Sus scrofa: one gene and its partner. The protein of the gene in region 1 interacts with the protein of each later gene in a biochemical or structural test. Links are inferred from orthologs where the notes say so. Each region holds a gene or a part of one and is shown on either strand. Other genes may lie near its edges.

The links.
Region 2: the proteins of TXNIP (region 1) and SLC2A1 form a complex in vitro, tested with the Homo sapiens proteins (2 studies listed by BioGRID). The link is inferred for Sus scrofa from reciprocal best matches to the Homo sapiens genes TXNIP and SLC2A1.

What each region holds. Positions count from the first base shown.
Region 1 is NC_010446.5:99,347,105-99,351,564, reverse strand, and holds the start of TXNIP (thioredoxin-interacting protein), read right to left. Parts: upstream 2,977-4,460; 5' UTR 2,715-2,976; coding exon 2,465-2,714; intron 1,952-2,464; coding exon 1,879-1,951; intron 1,757-1,878; coding exon 1,609-1,756; intron 1,402-1,608; coding exon 1,299-1,401; intron 1,168-1,298; coding exon 911-1,167; intron 810-910; coding exon 653-809; intron 541-652; coding exon 389-540; intron 257-388; coding exon 221-256; 3' UTR 1-220. UniProt on the Homo sapiens protein: May act as an oxidative stress mediator by inhibiting thioredoxin activity or by limiting its bioavailability.
Region 2 is NC_010448.4:168,555,848-168,559,651, reverse strand, and holds part of SLC2A1 (solute carrier family 2, facilitated glucose transporter member 1), read right to left. Parts: coding exon 3,697-3,804; intron 3,539-3,696; coding exon 3,298-3,538; intron 2,684-3,297; coding exon 2,521-2,683; intron 2,437-2,520; coding exon 2,249-2,436; intron 1,994-2,248; coding exon 1,889-1,993; intron 1,413-1,888; coding exon 1,311-1,412; intron 149-1,310; coding exon 1-148. UniProt on the Homo sapiens protein: Facilitative glucose transporter, which is responsible for constitutive or basal glucose uptake. Has a very broad substrate specificity; can transport a wide range of aldoses including both pentoses and hexoses.

The DNA of each region.
Region 1 (4,460 bases):
AGCAAAAAAACCCTTGTCACAACATCTCACTGGCTGAGGACGACTGCGCACCCTTTAAGGCCCAAGAGATTGCCTGATGATCACCTCCTACACCGGAGAGTCAGAGGCTGGGGTGGATCTGTACCCCACTGCAGAGACTGTTGAGTCTCCTAAAAAGTCAGTCCAGGAAGAGAGGTGAAAAGAAAGAAGTAGGTATAGCTGCTTCTTTCCTTCCACATGTTCACTGCACGTTGTTGTTGAGGATGCAGGGATCCACCTGGGAGGAAGAAAGAAAAGGATATTTTAGTTTGGGTAAGAACTAAGAGAACAACCCAGTTTAGTAATCCCTCCAAGTCAACTTTCCACTGAAGGCTTAGGACAAATGTAGTGGCAAAATGACAATTCTTACCTCACTGTAAGTAGGTGGTGGCATGAACTTAAACTCAGGAGCATACATAAAGATAGGGCTGTCTTGAGAGCCATCTGTGTCATCTAGCAGAGGAGTGGTGGGGCTCTCCAATCGGTGATCTTCAGGAATGATATCCATATAGCATGGAGGAGCTACAGAGACAAAGTATGGGGATAAGAAGCCTGGCCAAGAAATGCCTGACCATCACAATTTTACAAACCCAAGCAGACCAGAAGGGAAGAAAAGACATTAGGTCTGGCTCACCTTCGGGGGTATCAGGGATGTTTAGATCTACCCAACTCATCTCGGAGCTGGTTCGGCTGGCCATGCTGGACGTCCGGCTGCTGAGGCCTGACCTGCTGCCAATTACCAGGGGCAGGTCAAGAATGACCTTCTTGGAGCCAGGGACACTAACGTAGATCTAGAAAGGAACACGGGAGTTTGTTAGGCTAGAGATCTGGAGAAAACATCACTATTGTTTTGACAGATGAACAATTTCTCTCTCCAACCCTACAAACTCACCAGTAAGAAGTATTCAACTCGAAGGATGTTGCAGCCCAAGATAGAAGGCCTGATCTTCTGCACCCGAAGGCTCTTGCCACGCCATGATGCACAGGTTCCTGAGATAATGTGATTGCCTCTGACCGATGACAACTTCTGCGTCAGTACTTTGGTTTGGCCATTGGCAAGGTAAGTGTGGCGGGCTACAATGGCAGCTTTGGGCACCACAATGCGGGAACATGTATTCTCAAAATCAGCATGGATGTTAATCTCATCACCTAGCAATGGGAAAGATGAAAACTGATGCTCAGTACAATCAACGACTTTTCTTTTGTCCCTTTCTACAGCCCTCATCCCAAACCCATAGTTTCTGTTTTAGCAGTCTCCCATTTTAAGCACAGATTTTTACCTTCACAGAACCCTTTTCTGTCGATTCGAGCAGAGACAGACACCCGGCCATCAGGAATGAACATGCAGGAAACTTTCTTCTCCTTTTTAGCAGACACAGGTGCCTATGTAGAATGGAGGTGTTTTGAGAATTTCTAGAGATCCTTTCCCTGCTTTCCGTTCCTTTCCAGTACTTATTTATAGTAGGTAGCCTTCCCTCCCACCTTGATGATTTAGGACTTGATTCCCCGAGGGGCTTCACTTTTAATGCCCTAGACATTTGACTTAGCACCCCTGAGCCCAAAAAGAACAGAATCTTAGAATGACTTTACCATTAAATCAGGGGTATTGACATCCACTAGATCCATCACTTCGAAGTGTTTTTTTGTCTCTTGAGTTGGCTGGCTTGGGCGATCAAGAAAAGCCTTCACCCAGTAGTCTACACACCCATATTTTCCTTTGAAAGATGTTCCCAGAGGCCTTTATAAAGAAAAAGGAAACAACTAACTTAAAAAAATGCTCTCCAAGAACAGTGAGTGATCAAAGGAGGGGAAGATTTTTAGAGACAGATAAGTCCACAGATGCATTTAGCTGATACCTACCCCTGAGGAAGCTCAAAGCCAAACTTGTATTCATATTTGTTTCCAGGTCTCATGATCACCATCTCATTCTCCCCTGAAAAGAGAGATAAGCAAGTAACCATTAGGTTTCCTGTTACACTTAAAATGCATCTGTGCCGATAAGGAATTCTTAGGCATCACGCAAGAGTATTGCAGAACTCGTATTCTCATCCCTTTTGTTCCTAAATGACAGATTCTGATGTATTTTGTTGGGCAAAAAGTTGCAAAGCCCTGTAGTGTTGACAGGCTCAACCAGGACAGTTAAGCTACAATCATCTCAAACAAGAAGCAAGCAAAGAATAAGCAACTTATGCACAGAAATGTTTCAATAGGTAAGGCAACATCCTTCAACATCTCCAGAACACAGCACCACAAGAAATTGTACAAATCACCCTTTTGGGTGGGCAGGGATTGTAAATTAAAAAGAAACAAAAAGATAAGGAATTGACACAAAATTCAAACCACACCACCTGAGCAACTTAGAATATTTAGTGTAGGCTCTATTTATTCGTATCAACTCTCTTCTCAAATCAGCTTTCGCCCTCCAGTCAACAGCTGGGTCACTTACCTGTTGGGTGGTCGTCCAGGAGAAGAGTGTCTTCATAGCGCAGGTAGTCCAAGGTCTGTTTGCACTGCTGGGATCCCTGCATCCACAGGACTTTGGCCACTCCACAAGCCAGGATCCTGACAGCTTTGATTCGAGTGACTTCACACACCTCCACTATCACCCGGCCAGCCACCTTCTCCCCACAGCCGTACACCTTTTCGGGGTCGTTAAAGACCACCTCAAAAGACTTGATCTTCTTGAACATCACCATGTTTGGGCTCGGTTGACTTGAGAGTTAGAAACGGGGCAGGGGGCAGGAGTGAAAAACAAAACCCCGAATCAAAGGGCCCTTTGCAATGAATTAAAATTATTTCACTTTTCAACTCTCTATTAAATGTTCGACAAGATGTTCCCTTGCTGGTTGTGCCAAGGTATTTCAAAAGAAAAATAAGCTCTTTCCTGTCTTTCCTCCAACAGCTGGAGGAGAGCTCCGGATCTCGGCGGGAAAGCTAACAGCGATCTGCCAGAGGAGTGGAAAGGATAGCTTGTGCTGAGAGCTATAAACTGCTCTATATAGTAGCCGGGCAGGCAGAGCCACGCGAGCGCTGGCCCGGAGGCTCGTGCAGCCCTCGTGCACAGCCCGCCCATTGGCTGCCCGCTCCATGTTTACCAGGAGCCCGACCAATCAGCGAAGTCGCAGCGGCGCGTGGACACAGTGTGCTCCTGGCGGGGAAAATGGTTGTTGTGCACTGCTGCGGCCCTGGGAGGAGGGGGCGCAGGGGCCGTGGGCGGCTTCCCGGGAGCCCAAAGGAACGAAGCATTCGCAGACCCTAAAATTTATCCGAGGCCAGTGGCCTTGGGAGGGCGAATGAGGATGCTTCTGGGCTGGAGCGACATTTCGAGGTAAAAGGAAAATGTGCTTATGAGGGAATTTCGTGCCTAGCCATTGCCAGTGCAGTTAATTTAGAGGCGACCGTTTATTCCCGGCTCACAAATCGCAAGTCGTGTGAAAAACAATCCCCGAGCGCCAAGAATACTTTAGGATTGGGGCGGAGGGCAAGGAGTGCTGCTGTTATTATTCAGGACGAGCCCCTTTGTCTTCTTGCCCCGCATCTCTATTAAAAACACCCCCCCCCCAAAAAAAATAAGCTGATGTGAGAAGGAAATGAGAATTTGTCACAAATTTTTACCCTCTTCTCCGCGCACACAGGGAAGCGCGCGTGTGGGACCTACCAGCCTTTTTCCTCCCTTTCCAGCCCCCAGGGCTCAGGGCTTGGTGCTGGGCTGTTCCTCAGCCCCTGCGCCCCCAACTCAGTTCTCTCTGTTCTCTGGACCGGAAACAGTAAGGGCGCGGCCACATCCTGTTGCTAATGCCCTCATCTCTTCAGTCCCTAACCTGCAAAGTTGAGGGACACTTTGTTTCTGTTCTCCCAGTTACCTCATCACTTCTTTAGTAAATTGTGTTCTCTAGGCTCAGGTTACCTCTCCCTCCCTACTTCTCCAGGAAAGGGGGAAAAAAAAGGATGCTTCATTCTGCGCTTTTTTTCTGAATAACTTTAACTCTTTCTTGCCTTCGTTCCCTCTCCAATTTACTAAATCAAAGGTACATCCCTAAATCTGCTGCCCACCCTCCTCACAGCCTTCAAGTTAATTAAAAGCAGTAAAGTTCTCTGGTCTGTAACCAAAGTGTCCTGTTTGAAGGAAGCATTTCCTATCTTTGAAAAGTTTTTTTTTTTTTCTAAGTTGTTCAGAAATTGCTAAGAAAGCAAAGAGAAGACCGAAGGTTCACTGGCACGCTATATGCTAAAGCTGGAAGAGAACCTGACTCCTCATCCTGTGTTGTCATTTGGCTTGCTGACAGGTGGGTTTTTCCCTAGCTGGCCATGAGATGCCTTAGGAGCTGACTCCCAAGCAATTTCTCAAAAATGCAATAAGAGGAGTTTCCATCGTGGCTCAGTGGTTAACAACCGGACTCGCATCCATGAGGACGTGGGTTCAATCCCTGGCCTCACTCAGT
Region 2 (3,804 bases), on another chromosome or scaffold:
CAGCGACGGCAATGGCAGCCGGGCGAGGGCCCTGGCTGAAGAGTTCGGCCACAATGAACCATGGGATGGGGCCAGGGCCCACTTCAAAGAAGGCCACGAAGCCAAAGATGGCCACGATGCTCAGGTAGGACATCCAGGGCAGCTGCTCCTGTTGAGGACGAGAGAGGAGAGGAAAGTCAGACTGGGCTGTGATGGATCCTCAGAAGATGCAGAGGGAGCCCAGGGCAGTGCTAAGAGCTCTGGGCTGGAAGGAAGGAGGCCTGGGGCTGATCTTGGGTTTGCTGTGTGACGTTAGGTGCCCTGTGCTGGGGTCACGGTTCCCTCATCTGAACGAAACAGTTTAAGTCCTGCAGGACGCCTGTGAGCTTGTGTCCACCTCCCGGGGACAGTCACGTCGTGTGCGTGCGGGAAGTGCCAAAAGGCCCTCGCAGTCCCCTCGCTCAGGCCGCGAAGCGGGCTGCGTACAGCGGGAGGAAGGGGAAGAGTGTTGCCGGGGGCGGGTGTTAGGAGGCTTGTAAGGCGCCCAGCTCAGGGCCAACACCGAGCAGGCACGCGGTGCCATACAGAACCACTCTGGAGGCGGCCACGGTAGACAAGTACCTGGGCTTTGTTCAGATCCCAGATCCACGCTCAGTGCCTACGGTGGGTGTGCTGGCCCCTCGTCCAGCACTGCCCTTTCTAAGCTCTAGTTCAGCTGTAAAGTGAGTGTACCAGGGCTTTCCTTGCCCAGATGGGTAAGTGTGTGCAGTGCCCGGGGCAGGGCTGTCACAGAGGTTGCAGACTCGGGCTTAGGACCAGCAGATCTGAGGTTGATTCTGGCCTCGTCCATTATCTTCTGCATCCCTCAGTCCCCTGGGGACAGGCTTCCTCGCCTGAGAAGTGGGAAGAGTGACCTAACTGCACCTGCGCATCCTGAGCATTTCGTGAGATGAGGGAGGTTTCCACCCGCTGTGGTCAAGAGGCTGTTACTTCAGAGCAGTTCTAAAGGGAACTGAGGCTGCAGAGGAGACTCTGGAAAAGTCAGTATTAGGCAAAGCAATTCTGGGGAGAGGGACCTCGAGGTCTTGTGGTGAGAAAACGTCAGGCAGAGGAGGGAGCCGGTTTGAGGCAGGATGTGAGTGCGAAAGAAGGAGACAGCCTAGGAGCCAGAGGGGGTGGGGGGCTTCGGGTGCAGAACTAGGGAGGGGGCGGTCACCACCTGGCCTCCGGGTGCTGCTGGCTGGGCTGGGCTGAGACGGGCACTTTGGGATCTGGTGCCCATGTGAGCTGCCACCCACCCCTGCCACCTCGCCGCCAGTGTGGCGACTCACCAGCAGTGCCAAGGCGATGGTCATGAGCACCGCGCAGCCCGCCATGCCAGCCAGGCCTATGAGGTGCAGGGTCCGCCGGCCGGCTCGTTCCACCACGAACAGCTGTGGGCAGAGAGTGTCAGTGCTACCGCCACCCGGAGTCCCTCTGGAAACATCCCTCCCTCCCTCCGCTCCTTCATCCCACATGTAGGGACAGCCACGGGGCCCTGCAGAGACGGAGGTGGAAGGAAGACAGTACCGCCTCGGCCTGGGGGGTTCACAGGTCCGGCGGGGGGCTGGAGAGCCCAGCACCTGGAGGGGAGTGAGGGCGGCCCCCGAGAGCCAGACAGCTGAGCATGCTGCCTGCGGCTTTGGGCCAGCCATCACGCCTCTCTGAGCGTCAGTGTCATCAGCTGTTTGATACGAGTAATGAACTTGACACGTTGTTGAAGATGAAATGGGAGAGCACTTATGGAGCGTGTGACGCATGCCTGGCTCACGGTACTTGCTGCTATTCAGTCATGAGGCCCCGAGGCCCCGAGAGGGACCCTGGATGCCGATGGGTATCAGCAGTGATGAAGAGGCTCCCAAAGACTCACCGACACGACAGTGAAGGCCGTGTTGACGATGCCGGAGCCGATGGTGGCATACACAGGCTGCTGCACGCCCGCCTTCTCGAAGATGCTTGTGGAGTAATAGAAAACCTGCGGGCAGGGGAGTCACGGGGTGAGCCGGGCGCTGCGGTCCGCCCGCGGCCTCTGTCCCCACGGGTGGGGACACTCACAGTGAGGAAGGAAGGAACGGGACACCGCACCGGTGCCCTTACGGGTTTTGGATCTGGGGGAGAGCTTCTCCCCCGGCAGGGGCTCGTCTGTCGTAAGCGTGGGCTCTGTCCACAGCGCGCACTTGAACCCAGGGTTCGGCTGGGGCCCCGGGAGAGGCTGGCCGGGGGCACTCACCGCGTTGATGCCCGACAGCTGCTGGGACAGCTGCAGCACCACGGCGATGAGGATGGGCTGGCGGTAGGCGGCCGAGCGGAACAGCTCCAGGATGGTGACCTTCTTCTCCCGCATCATCTGCCGGCTCTCCTCCTTCATCTCCTGCAGGTCTCGGGTCACGTCTGCCGTTCCGCGCAGCTTCTTCAGCACTGGGGGGCCGGAGGGAAGGGGGGTGGCTCAGCGCGGGGAGGCGGCCAGGGCCGGGGGCGGGGAGGGGCAGGGCCCGGCCGTACCGCTCTTGGCCCGGTTCTCCTCATTGCGGTTGATGAGCAGGAAGCGGGGGCTCTCGGGGCAGAAGGGCAGCAGGACGCACTGCAGCAGGGCCGGGATGAAGATGACGCTCAGGAGCAGGGGCCACAGCTCCTCGTTGCCCATGATGGAGTCCAGGCCAAATACCTGCGGGAGGCAGGGACGGAGAGCGGCTGTCAGTGCCCTGCCCTGGCTCCACGCCTCGACCCGTTCCACCCAGGCGGCCCTCGCCTGCGTGTGCCAGCCACTGCGTCAGAAAGAGGGCTCCAGTCTGAGTCTCGTTCTGCGCTAGCGTGAAGCTTCACTTCTCTGAACCTCAGGGAGAAGCAGGACCTACCGCCCGGCCTGGGGATGAGATGGCGGGGCTTCGAAGGTGTCTGGCAGGGGCCCCCGCGGGCTGCTGCCCTGCCCCAGGACCCCTCAAGGTGGGACGGGGAGGCCTTGAGAGAGGGGGTGCATGCGTGTACCACGTGCACACCCATCATGGCCTGGAGGCGGCAGGGAGCCAGCAGGCTGAGAAACTGGTGGGCTTCCCTGTGGCTGGGTCCGCAGGGTGAAGAGAAGGGACACAAGGCCGAGCGGGCTGGGACGAAAAGTCAAGGCATCTGGACGCTCTCCCACCGGGGGCCCCGGGAGAAGGGTGCGGAGTGCTGTGCCTGGGACGTGTCCCGAGGCTCCCCTGCGAGGCTGCGGGAGGCCGGCTGAGGGGTGCGATCTGGATGCACACCCGGGAGGTGCTGGAGCTGTGGCTGGGGGCTTACCTGGGCGATGAGGATGCCGACGACGATGCCCAGCTGGTGCAGGGTGCCCAGGGCCCCTCGAAGGGCCGTCGGGGACACCTCCCCCACATACATGGGCACGAAGCCCGTGGTCAGGCCGCAGTACACACCGATGATGAAGCGACCCAGGATCAGCATCTCAAAGGATTTGCCCAGTTTGGAGAAGCCCATGAGCACAGCAGATATGAAGGCCAGCAGGTTCATCATCAGCATGGAATTCCGCCTGGGGCGAGGAGGTCAGAGGTCAGGCGGGCCCCTGGATCCCCCTGGAGGCCTCAGGGGCTGGGTCAGAGGTAACACTCTGGAACAGGCAGGGAAGGCCCCCCACCGCCCGCGCTCGTCTGGGCCTCCCTGGGCAGGGCCAGGACCCCCTCTGCTCACCGGCCAAAGCGGTTCACAAACAGGCCCACAGAGAAGGAGCCGATCATGCCCCCCACGGAGAATATGGCCACGGAGAGGGACCAGAGTGTGGTCAGCGTGGCGGGCGAG